Linked DNA regions of Saccharomyces cerevisiae S288C. The gene in region 1 interacts genetically with each later gene. Each region holds a gene or a part of one and is shown in the gene's direction. Other genes may lie near its edges.

Region 1 (3,783 bases):
ACGAGTAATCCACTGACGTTTTCCATTGTAATCTCACTACAAAGATGCGTGATTAATCTAGGTTCCACACATTTTTATAAAACACTACTAAACAAGCCGTCTAACAAACCCAAGAGTGTGGAAGGTTTTGAGAAGTCTATTAGGTACTTGAATATTGCCTCACTCTATCTCCCAGCCGTTGGAGATACTTATTTTCAACGAGCGAAAATTTACTTGATCACTGGGAAATTCTCACTGTATTTCTTTGAATTAGTAAGAGGAGCATTGGTAAGGATTCCGTCTAAATGTGCGTTAAACAATTTGAAAGATTTCATTTTGACTCCTGATTTTCCGGAAAGAAGACGTCTGATGAAAAAATTGGCAATTCTTGTGTCAAAAGATCTCAAAGGTGAGAAATCATTCTTTGAAGGTCAAATTGTTTTGCAATTTCTATCGATAGTAGAACACACTTTGGTTCCACAGTCATGGAACGCATCACGTGCTTCTAATTGTTGGTTATTGAAAGAGCATTTACAAATGGCTGCATTAAAGTATCATTCAGGTAATATTAATGTTATACTTGAAAACTTGGCTGCCACAATGGGAAGTTTCGATCTTATGTTTACAACTCGAAAAAGTAAGGAACAAAAGAACAAACTCAAATATGCAGATTTGAGTGAGCGCCAGGTTTTTTTTTTAGACTTGAGCTTTGATTTTATTGCTAATATCATAGACGTCGTCATCAAACCCTCCTGGCAAAAAAACATGGAAGACTTTCGATATCTAGCCATTATTCGTTTGCTTATGTGCTGGATTAAGTCATATAGATCTATTTTGCAGTACACTCACAGACACAGGAAGTTTTGCACTTCATTCGCCTTGTTGCTGAACGACTTGATAAATAGTCCACTGAATTGTTCAGGAAATATATATAGCCACAGGCCGAAAAGAAGCTATCTTTTTAGAGAAGATATTATTTTCAGGGAATTTTCTTGCATTAACTTTGCACTAACAGATTTTAATGACGATTATGTGTATGATTCTCCCGACATGATTAATAATATAATTGGATGCCCTACATTGACTAAAGTGCTTTCTCCAAAAGAAGAATGTGTTCTGCGAATTAGATCAATAATATTTTCTGGCATGAAATTTTTAGAGAAAAATGACACCGGCGTCATATGGAATGCCAGCAAATATAAGTTTGATTTAATAAGCCCAAATATTAAAATAAAACGCCAAATAGCATTATCGGAAATTTCCTCCAAAATAAATGTAAAAACACAACAGGAAAGAGTAGTCTCTTCGAGAAAAGTTGAGGCCAAAAGAGATGAACAACAGCGCAAAAGAGCCGGGAAAATAGCTGTGACAGAACTGGAAAAACAATTTGCAAATGTCCGGAGAACAAAAAAATTGTCTCCGCTCCCAGAAAAAGATGGCGTTTCTTCTGAGTTGGTAAAACATGCTGCTTCACGAGGGAGAAAAACTATCACTGGCCCACTATCCTCTGATTTTCTCTCATATCCAGACGAAGCAATTGATGCTGATGAGGACATCACCGTCCAAGTGCCAGATACTCCTACTTGAGAGAACAAGTAATGGTGAGGGAAAAAATCATAATATGAAATATATTATGACGACGTCAATTAACGTCGTCCACGCCTGTCGTCGTCAACCCACGAAAATATGGGGGCGGTTTTTATAACGGTTATTAAAACGACGGGATGCCGTCTACGGCACGGACAAACCCATCGCTTTGGAAATAGGTGACTGCGCTTGAAAAACATAATTATTTATTAGCATAATAAATTCAAGACAGCAAATATATATGCTGTCAATACGTACATATTAAGCCTAAATATTCTGTGGAAAAAAGAAACAAACTGGTAATTATGGAGAAAGCTTTGGAATTAGACGGAGAATATCCGGAATCTCTGAGGGATGAATTCAACATCCCTACATTTAAATCCATGGGACTATCGTCCGACGATAAGCCTGTGACGTACTTATGCGGGAATTCTTTAGGTTTGATGCCGAAGTCAACTAGGAATTCAATTAATGCTGAGCTAGATGCGTGGAGCGATTGTGCTGTGGAATCGCATTTCAAACATCCTGAAGAAGCCAGAGGAAAGGTGCCTTGGGTCAGCATTGACTTACCTATTCTTCCACTACTAGCCCCCATCGTGGGTGCTCAAGAAAATGAAGTTGCAGTAATGAATAGTCTCACTGCAAATTTGAATTCATTGTTAATTACGTTTTATAAACCTACTGAGAAAAGATTCAAGATCCTTTTTGAAAAGGGCTCCTTTCCATCAGACTATTATGCTTTCTACAACCAGTGCAAAATTCATGGAATTTCGGAACCTGAGAATGTTTTTATTCAGATCGAGCCACGCGAGGGAGAGACTTATATCAGAACTCAAGATATCCTGGATACCATAGAGGTAAATCAAGATGAATTGGCGCTGGTCTGTTTGTCAGGTGTTCAGTATTACACGGGGCAATATTTCGATATTGGCCGAATCACCTCATTTGCCCACCAATTCCCCGACATATTGGTTGGATGGGATTTAGCACACGCTGTAGGGAACGTCCCATTGCAACTTCATGATTGGGGTGTTGACTTTGCCTGTTGGTGTTCTTACAAGTACTTGAATGCCGGGCCTGGTGGAATTGGTGGCTTATTTGTCCACTCGAAGCATACTAAACCAGACCCTGCTAAGGAAAGTTTGCCAAGATTAGCTGGTTGGTGGGGCAATGATCCTGCTAAGCGATTTCAAATGCTGGAAGTATTCGAGCCGATTCCAGGAGCATTGGGATTCAGGCAATCTAATCCAAGCGTTATTGACACAGTGGCATTGAGAAGTTCATTGGAATTATTTGCGAAGTTTAATGGTATTAATGAAGTTCGTAAAAGATCGTTGTTGCTGACGAACTATATGACGGAACTGTTGGAAGCCTCCAAGTATTACAAACACCCTTTAAGGATCGAGAAATTACCATGTTTTTTTACAATATTAACTCCAACAAGCACAGATGAAGAACATGGCGCCCAATTGTCACTTTACTTCGATTCTGACACTGGAAAAGAGGATATTATGCCCAAAGTTTTCCAATATTTGCATGACCATGGTGTCATTGGCGATGCAAGAAGACCAAACGTAATTAGATTGGCTCCTGCTCCCTTATATAATACATTTTCAGATGTATACATTGCGGTGAATGCACTAAATGAGGCGATGGATAAGTTGTAGTCCTAGAGTGACCGCATCGCCTTCATCTTCTTTTGGATATTATATATGACGTAGTTTGAAATTCGTATACTTACTGATAGCGAACCTATAAATTTATACTTTCTTTCCAAGAATTAAAATAAATATCTGGGCCCGTGTATTACTTACCAGTTGCCGTGCATAGTCGTGAATCTTCTTTCATTTATCAACCTTCTTCCAATAATGAAGCTAACTTATCAGTGGTAGTACTGTTGAACGAAACAAGCCGGAACTCAAAAGGGTAATTTCGTGAAAAACAATCATCTACGGTATAAATAACAATTTAATTTACGTCTCTTTCGAAAATGCTCGTGTAGCTCAGTGGTTAGAGCTTCGTGCTTATAGCAACATTCGGTTTCCGAAGTTTCTGTGCCAAAGACCTTTCAAACAGGCCTTTAAAAGCAACGCGACCGTCGTGGGTTCAATCCCCACCTCGAGCACTTTCTCTTTTTTTTTTAAAAAAAGTTGCATTATTTCTATCAACTGTTGTAGCTACGTTACACCTAATTTTGTATTGTAGACTGTTAGATAA
Region 2 (4,073 bases), on another chromosome or scaffold:
CAAACAAAATAAATGCAGCTTTAAATCAATATTCGGCGAAGGCAAGTAACGGTTGCTAGCGGTTTTTCCCATTCACATACTATTACACTTCTGCGGTACCAAGCTAGATTAAGTGCTAGATAATAAACCTTTATGATGCCAGCTAACGAAGATAAAGAGAATAATATCGTATATACAGGGAATGAAAGTTCCGGCATTAACTTTCCACAGACGCCGGCTCACTTGCTGAAAAGGTCGCACTCTAATATTTTAAAACCACCTGTAAGATTGGACCAACTCAAAAGGGATGCGAACAGCAACAATGGCAACACATTAAAGTACATACAAGGAGGGAAGGAGGTGTCACCCACAAAAAGGTTGCATACCCATGCGCAACAACAAGGAAGATTGCCTCTGGCAGCAAAAGACAACAATAGATCGAAAAGCTTTATTTTTCCCGAAACTTCTAATCAGAGTAAAGATGCAGACTTACCACAACTACAGAATACACTATCTATACGCAAAAACGACCAACTCAGGAAACTTTCGCAAATTTCTCGCAGTCGTAGTAGGGCCAACCATAATGATTTGTTAAGCAATTCAAGAAAGTTACAAAAGTACGGTTCTGTCCTTGGTTATAATGCTTTACCTAAAATGAAAAGTCTAGTTTTAAAAGATCTTGCAGATTCAGGTAAAAATGAAGAGAGTTCCGACGATGATGAAGGTAATGAAGATTCCGAGAGTAAACTTGGCAAAAAACTCCAAAGTGCACTTTTAAAACAGGATTCCTCCGACGGTGAAAATGAATTAAATGGTGGCCTAGGACTATTTAATGAGCAAGGTGGTCTGCAACAACTCATAAAGAACTCCACGAAGAATGAGCAAAAAACTAAAAACGATAAAAGTGATAAAACTGATGACTATGATATCGAAATAGCACCACAGAGGCAGGAGCCGTTACCGTATGTACCAGAAGGCTATTCCCCATTTCAACAAGATGATATTGAAAAGCTGAAGACGTTCAACTCACCATATAAGCTTGACTTGGAAGACGAAGATGACACCCCAGATAAAGTTGATTTACTCCCACTAGAACAAATTGATGAAGAAGGCGAAAAAGATGAGACTGAGTGCATCACTCGGAATCAAGAAGAAGGTGCAGCGTTACCACTGCTGTCTAAGAACTTCAAAGAAGTTGCCGCCGTCCCAACCATGGAGTTAGTGTACAGCGAAGAAGGCCTCGATCCTGAAGAACTAGAGGACTTAGTTACTTAGATCCACTGCTCATTCACATACACACAACATATATACACGTATATACAGATACTTTATAACATACAATTCTGGTTAAAAGCGGTTGCTCCTGCCGCCGGGATTTAATCTGCGGCCTCACCCATACCTCAACTACCGCCATTGTTCGTACGTTTTAAATGGCTTCGCTTCACCCTTGATTGGCAAAGGGTCCAAGAGGGATCACATCACGATACTATTGTTTCTACTAATGTGCTGCGGGCTGATGTCCTCCACACGTCTTCAATTGCTTCTCTTTATGGGTTCTCAAAGTACTTCGTCATAATTACTTCATTATACCTAAGAAAATAATTTCATTTTTTTTCTGAATTTTTTAGCAGAAAAAAAAAAAGTTCAAGTTTGGCCTCATTCGCAATATTTTCTCCATGGAAACGGCTTGTATCTTGAGGCTTCTCCTACTTGTTTGGCGATTTTATTTTATTTTTCCTACTCTTATGGTCCCATATGTACATCTACATATCTCTTCAAATTACCAATACACTTTTAGGATAGCTAAATTTACTACTTCGTGTGGGAACTATATTCTGTTCACTTTTCTTTTTGATCCTTTCTTGACTGACATCATCCTTTTCTCATTCAGTAAATACCCCAATATTTCCTCATATCTCTAGAGGCATAAAAGATAAGAATAAAGGGAAGGAGCGCCACAGTAGTGTTGTTTTTGTAAGTGGTAAACACAGAAGAAGTAAGAACACATGACAATGACACACCAACAGGATTTGAAAGGTGTGTTCACCGCAAAGGATTTGGATTTTAAGCCCGCTGGCAAGATTACTAAAAAAGATTTGAATACAGGTGTCACTAAGGCAGAATATGCTGTAAGAGGAGCTATTCCAACCAGAGCTGACGAGCTAAAAGAGGAATTGAAAAAAAACCCAGAAGTTTTGCCTTTCGATGATATTATCAATGCGAACATTGGTAATCCGCAGCAACTGGATCAGAAGCCTTTGACCTTTACCAGGCAAGTACTGGCCATCCTGGAGTACCCGGAAATTTTACGAGTAGGCCATAATGAACTGGCTTCTTTGAACTTGTTTTCCAGGGACGCCTTGGAAAGAGCTGAGCGCCTCTTGAATGATATTGGCGGTTCTATAGGGGCATATTCGCATTCTCAAGGTGTGCCAGGAATAAGGCAAACAGTTGCTGACTTCATTACTAGAAGAGACGGCGGTGAGCCCGCTACACCGGAAGATATTTATTTAACCACTGGCGCTTCGTCCGCGGCAACTTCTTTGTTATCTTTATTGTGTAAAGATTCTCAAACAGGCCTGCTGATTCCAATTCCGCAGTATCCGCTTTATACTGCATCCGCATCTCTTTTCAATGCACAAGTGCTGCCATACTACTTAGATGAGGAGTCAAATTGGTCTACAAACAGCGACGAAATTGAAAAAGTAGTGCAAGATGCTTTGAAAAAACAGATCAGACCATCTGTGCTGATAGTTATTAATCCAGGTAACCCAACCGGTGCAGTTCTTTCTGAAGAAACCATTGCCAGGATCTGTTTGATCGCTGCGAAATACGGCATTACAATCATTTCTGATGAGGTCTATCAAGAAAACATTTTCAACGATGTTAAATTTCATTCGATGAAGAAAGTCCTAAGAAAATTGCAGCATCTTTATCCAGGAAAATTCGATAACGTTCAGCTCGCCTCTTTACACTCCATTTCTAAAGGATTCATGGATGAGTGCGGCCAAAGAGGCGGTTACATGGAAATTATTGGGTTTTCTCAAGAAATAAGAGATGCTCTTTTCAAACTCATGTCTATATCCATATGTTCTGTTGTCACAGGACAAGCTGTGGTTGATTTAATGGTCAAACCACCCCAGCCTGGAGACGAGTCCTATGAACAAGATCATGACGAAAGGCTGAAAATTTTTCATGAAATGCGTACGAGAGCAAACTTATTGTACGAGACGTTTAAGGAACTAGAGGGTATCGAATGCCAAAAACCTCAGGGTGCAATGTATCTTTTCCCTAGGCTTGTTTTACCTAAGAAAGCTCTTTGTGAAAGCGAACGCCTTGGCATCGAACCTGATGAGTTCTATTGCACATCTTTGCTAGAATCTACAGGTATTTGTACTGTCCCAGGGTCTGGGTTCGGACAAAGACCCGGGACTTATCATGTGCGAACAACGTTTTTGGCTCCAGGGACTAAATGGATTCAAGACTGGAAAGAATTTCATCAAGATTTCTTCAGCAAGTATCGTAATTGAATGAAAAAAAAAAACTAATGATAATGGCTTTCTATTTGTTTTGCATCCATGGTGGGGGTGAAGTTTAAATTTGTAATAGTATACATGCATCATTCTTTACTAAGGGAAATAAGGAAAAGTATATATCTGCCTCTTGTAATATTGTTCAAGGAAATAAATTTTGGAGCATTCCTCTGCATCTATTGTTCAATTAAAAAAAAAAAAAAAAAAAAAAAAAAAAAAAAAAAGTAATTATTCATATAAAACCACCTTGCGGGCAAGATCATATTATCCAAGTTGATACTTATTTAAAAATATAAAAATTTTTTAACCGCGTACATTAAATACAGGGTCATATACAGGAAGAGCTTTCAACACCTTTTTGAATACTTTATATGCAATAGGTGCTTTTTTTTTTCACCTATGGTGACTCCTCCTTTCATTCTATCCTACATATTATTACAATTCCATTGATGTGCCAAAGTCTCTTGTTTGATCTCCATTACCCTGTTGGTCTAATTTCTGTCGTTTTGTTGACGGCGATTCCAGAGTTTGATAGTAGGAAGTTTCTGGTCTAGTTATTTC
Region 3 (4,027 bases), on another chromosome or scaffold:
GACCGGTCTTGCCGTAGGACCTGCAATATCCCAAAATGAATGCACACCCATGTCTGAAGTTTGGCGTTCTCCCGAAAATGCTTTTCTTCATGGATGACGTGTAGAACCTTCAATGATTTACGTACAGTTTTTCAATCCCTTTAAGGTCTCTATATGTGGCGGCATCTTTTCTTTTTCTTTTCTTTTTTTTTTTTTCACTCTCCCTTTTAATGCCTCCACGGAGGTTCGAATGGGTTATACTAGAAAGAAAAAAAAATAGTGATAATTAACAATGAAAAAAAAAAAACAGCAACAAAATGTGGTATTGGGGTCACACCACTCATTGACTCACATCCTCTGGAAACATCAAAAAGCTACCAAAAAAGAAAAAAAAAAAAATTCAAGTGCGAAGTTTCCGCATATGCAAACCTTACTTATTGTATAATATTGGTAACAGCAGCTACTAAGCTCCCTGACTCTGATTTCTCTCTCTGTCTCTTTTGAGGAGTACCTTCTGCGCTACTGTGTTCCAATGGTATCTGCGCCTTGAAAATCAATCACAAACGCTCTTGCTATGGCCTGCCTTGGACACGATACGTCGCTGCTTATGCCGCCAGGTGTCAGTAAATGCTCTGACGCACCCATTCACCCCGCGCACTAATTTGCAAAATTTGGGGGCAGTTTGGGAATACTCCATAGAAAAAATCGACTTCAAATCAATTCCGCACAACGTCGCCGTGTTGGCTAAAGTGAACGGAAAATGGACGACATGGTAAAAGAACAGATATGTACATATACAGAAGCCGCGATTTCACATGCCGGCCATTATGGCACACAACCAGGTCTTGTACTGTCACTATGTGCGTTCCGGAACGCCTGTACAGTCCATGGTGAACCATTTATTTATTTATTATTATTATTTTGTACATTATTATTTATGCTATATGTTATTATTATTATCACTATTTAATATTATTATTCGGGTCCAGGTGAAATAACAAAGTCTGGCGCCAGTCACTTGTCTGGGTGCCCGTATTCTCTGTTACAGCGGTATCCCTCTGGATTCTGCAATCGTCGCCGGCTTCTACTAATTTTTCCTTTCCTTTTTGTTTTTTTTTTTTTTTAGTTTTTTATTTTCTAGTTTCCTGCTCGTATTCTGTTGGTTTTTCCAGTGTCTCTCTCCTTTTACAAGTCACCCATTCTCTGCGAAGAAGCGGTCGCACCAACAAAATAGAAAATACCACCGGACGCCGGATCGCTTATTACTCGCAATCATAGTTACCAATCACAGCCGGGCATACTCGGGATCTACCGTAGAATCCTATGCGTCACACATGAGGACAGGTTACGAACCGTCGAAGGCTTCGCGGCGTGTGTGATTAGTATTGTTTTGACCTCATCCATACACCCTGAAATATCTGTCGCATCTCCGATTACGTTAAAAATTCTGGATAATATATAAACCATGAGTTTTCCTTTCTTTGAAGTATGTTCCTACTCGAGATCCTTTTGTTATTTTATTGCCATTTTTTTTTTGTTTCATATGTACTTCTTATCTACTATTTATATTTCTCTATATTAACTAACTCTCCAAGCTATAAGCATACGTCCATATTTACTGTCTTAGAAGTCGTATTCACATCACAGTTTTCCCCCTCTTCGCCTTTTTCAAACTATTTTCCCCCGTGAGACAGCGACTGAAAAAAAAACGACTGCGCAGAAGGCTTATATAAAAAAAAAAAGAAATATTTCTTCACTTTCGAGCATTGAACTATTGTCATTACCTCTAGATGAGCAACAAATTTACAATGGAGTCACCTAAGCATTTGGTGGATGATGTGCTTTTCATATCACCCACCAATGATGGATCAGAAGAAAAGCCTACGGAAGTCACGTTCCAGGAAGATGAAGGCCATGACGCTAGCTTGCATAATCGCAGCCATGACAAGAAGTCGGAACTTGCCACCGAACGGGAAATTATGGCTACTACCACGGATGATGACGGCATCCCCTCCCCTTCCCATCCAATGGAAAAGCGTGTCTTGCGCAAAATGGATATATACTTGATTCCTCTTATGGGGATGCTATATTTCCTTTCTAACCTGGATAAATCGAATATTGGTAACGCAGAAGTTGCAGGTCTATCCAAGGATATCCACCTTGTAGGAACGCAATATAACACATGTGTCACAGTTTTTTTCGCGACGTATGTTCTTTTCGACCCCATAGGTACTAACCTTCTGAAAATTATGGGTCCGCCATTAATGATGAGTATCTGTTTGACCTGTTTCGGTGCTATTTCGCTCGGAACTGCTTGGGTTAAGAATTATGCTCAATTGATCGTTGTCAGACTACTACTGGGTGCCTTTGAAGGTATGATTTATCCCGCTATTAACATGTACCTTTCAGTCTGCTATAGAAGAGAACAATATGCTCTGAGGTTCGCTTTTGTCTTCAGTGCAGCCTGTTTGTCTTCATCTTTTGGTGGGCTGATTGCTTATGGTTGTTCCAAAATCAGCGGTTCTCTAAAGGACTGGCAATACATTTACATTGTCGAAGGTTGTATCTCTTTGGGGTTCGTACCATTCTATGCCTTCGGGTTGAGCAAAAATTTGGAGGATTCGTGGTTTTTCAATAAGGAGGAAAAAGAGTACATTTCCGAAAGATACAAGACTATGAACACTTTTGACCCGGACGAAAAATTTGAATGGTTCCAAGTGTGGCAAGCAGTTAAGGATGTCAAGACTTGGGCTAGTGCTGTGGCATTATTCGGTATCGATTTGACTACTTTTGGTCTAACAGTCTTCTTGCCGATCATCATTACCAGTATGGGGTTCACTAATGTCAGAGCTCAATTAATGACCGTGCCCATCTATTTCCTTACAGCAATTGTGTTCTTCATTTGTGCCGTTTGGTCTGATCGTATAAAGTTGAGATCTCCATTCATCCTGGGTGCTTGTCTGACGACTTCGATAGGCATAGCTATCGTCCTTGGTTCTCAAGTTCATGGTGTGAGATATTTTGGCGTTTACATTCTTTGTATGGGTATTTACGTTAATGCTGCCTGTAACTGTTTATGGTTAAGTGGTAACACTGGTAATTACTTCAAGAGAGCCACCGCTTTAGGAATTAATCTATTTTTCGGGTCTGGTTCAGGGTTGGTCTCTGGTCAAATTTTTGTTGCCAAAGACAAGCCAAGATATATCAAAGGGCTGTCGATTAGTCTGGCCTTTCAAGTCTTCTCCATATTTATGACGGTTGTGCAAATTTTCCTATACAAGAGGGAAAACGATAAAAAGAAAGCAATAATAGATCGCTGTAATGAATTGGGAGAGCCTATTCCATACGACGAAAGGTTAAGCGACAAAAACCCTGAGTTTAAGTACATGTATTAGGCTTGACTTTCTTCACCCTCCACTTTTTTTGCCCCTCGTTATGAGTGTGTTTGCAATTTGTAACTTTTCTTTTATATTTGTATGTATTTTTGTACTAAGCAAATTCACATGAAACTTTGTTTACCAACTTCTCTTTTGTTTTCGTCCCAAACACGTATATTACTGGGAAGATATACATGCCTATATCTATATCTATAAATATACATATTTATATAGTATTATCTCCGAGTTCTAAAGCTCCAGATGCGAAGAAGACGTTCCCGAAGAAGACGTTCCCAAAGAAGAGTCACTATACTCATCATCGTCACTGCTCTCTTCCGATTCGTCTTCATCCTCGTCACTGCTTTCTTCCACCACCTTTATAATTTTCCTTGGTTTACTCTTCCTTTCTGGAATGTCGGAAAAAAACTCGTCCAGGCTTTGCAAACGATATTTCTTCCCGTTTTGAGATGTGAAGGTGTTTACGTTACCTTTACCTGAGATGCTATTGCTATCGCCGTCATTGATCCCAGTCAATTTTGCGTTGGAGCTAGATGTGAAAGATCTTGCTGAGTTGTTGGTAATAAAAGACTGCGATGAAAAACTTTTTTTGTATTTGTTATAGTCTTTCAATTCTGCGCCTTCTCTAATATCGTTACCTGTCTCGCCAACCT

Evidence for each region.
Region 2: mutations in BNA5 (region 1) and ALT2 are lethal when combined (synthetic lethality), as found in Saccharomyces cerevisiae (one study listed by BioGRID).
Region 3: mutations in BNA5 (region 1) and TNA1 together harm fitness more than expected from each alone (negative genetic interaction), as found in Saccharomyces cerevisiae (2 studies listed by BioGRID).

The regions. Positions count from the first base shown.
Region 1 is NC_001144.5:605,208-608,990, reverse strand, and holds BNA5 (kynureninase), read left to right. Parts: upstream 1-1,871; coding exon 1,872-3,233; downstream 3,234-3,783. Other genes in the region: EST1 (Est1p), read left to right, coding at 1-1,566. UniProt on the Saccharomyces cerevisiae protein: Catalyzes the cleavage of L-kynurenine (L-Kyn) and L-3-hydroxykynurenine (L-3OHKyn) into anthranilic acid (AA) and 3-hydroxyanthranilic acid (3-OHAA), respectively.
Region 2 is NC_001136.10:677,677-681,749, reverse strand, and holds ALT2 (alanine transaminase ALT2), read left to right. Parts: upstream 1-1,985; coding exon 1,986-3,509; downstream 3,510-4,073. Other genes in the region: PDS1 (securin), read left to right, coding at 133-1,254; replication fork barrier binding protein FOB1, read right to left, coding at 3,948-4,073. UniProt on the Saccharomyces cerevisiae protein: Inactive alanine aminotransferase. Forms a catalytically active Schiff base with PLP, but lacks alanine transaminase activity, probably due to an altered structural conformation of the dimeric enzyme.
Region 3 is NC_001139.9:1,010,716-1,014,742, forward strand, and holds TNA1 (Tna1p), read left to right. Parts: upstream 1-1,769; coding exon 1,770-3,374; downstream 3,375-4,027. Other genes in the region: ssDNA endodeoxyribonuclease RAD2, read right to left, coding at 1-51; APL6 (AP-3 complex subunit beta), read right to left, coding at 3,606-4,027. UniProt on the Saccharomyces cerevisiae protein: Involved in the uptake of nicotinic acid.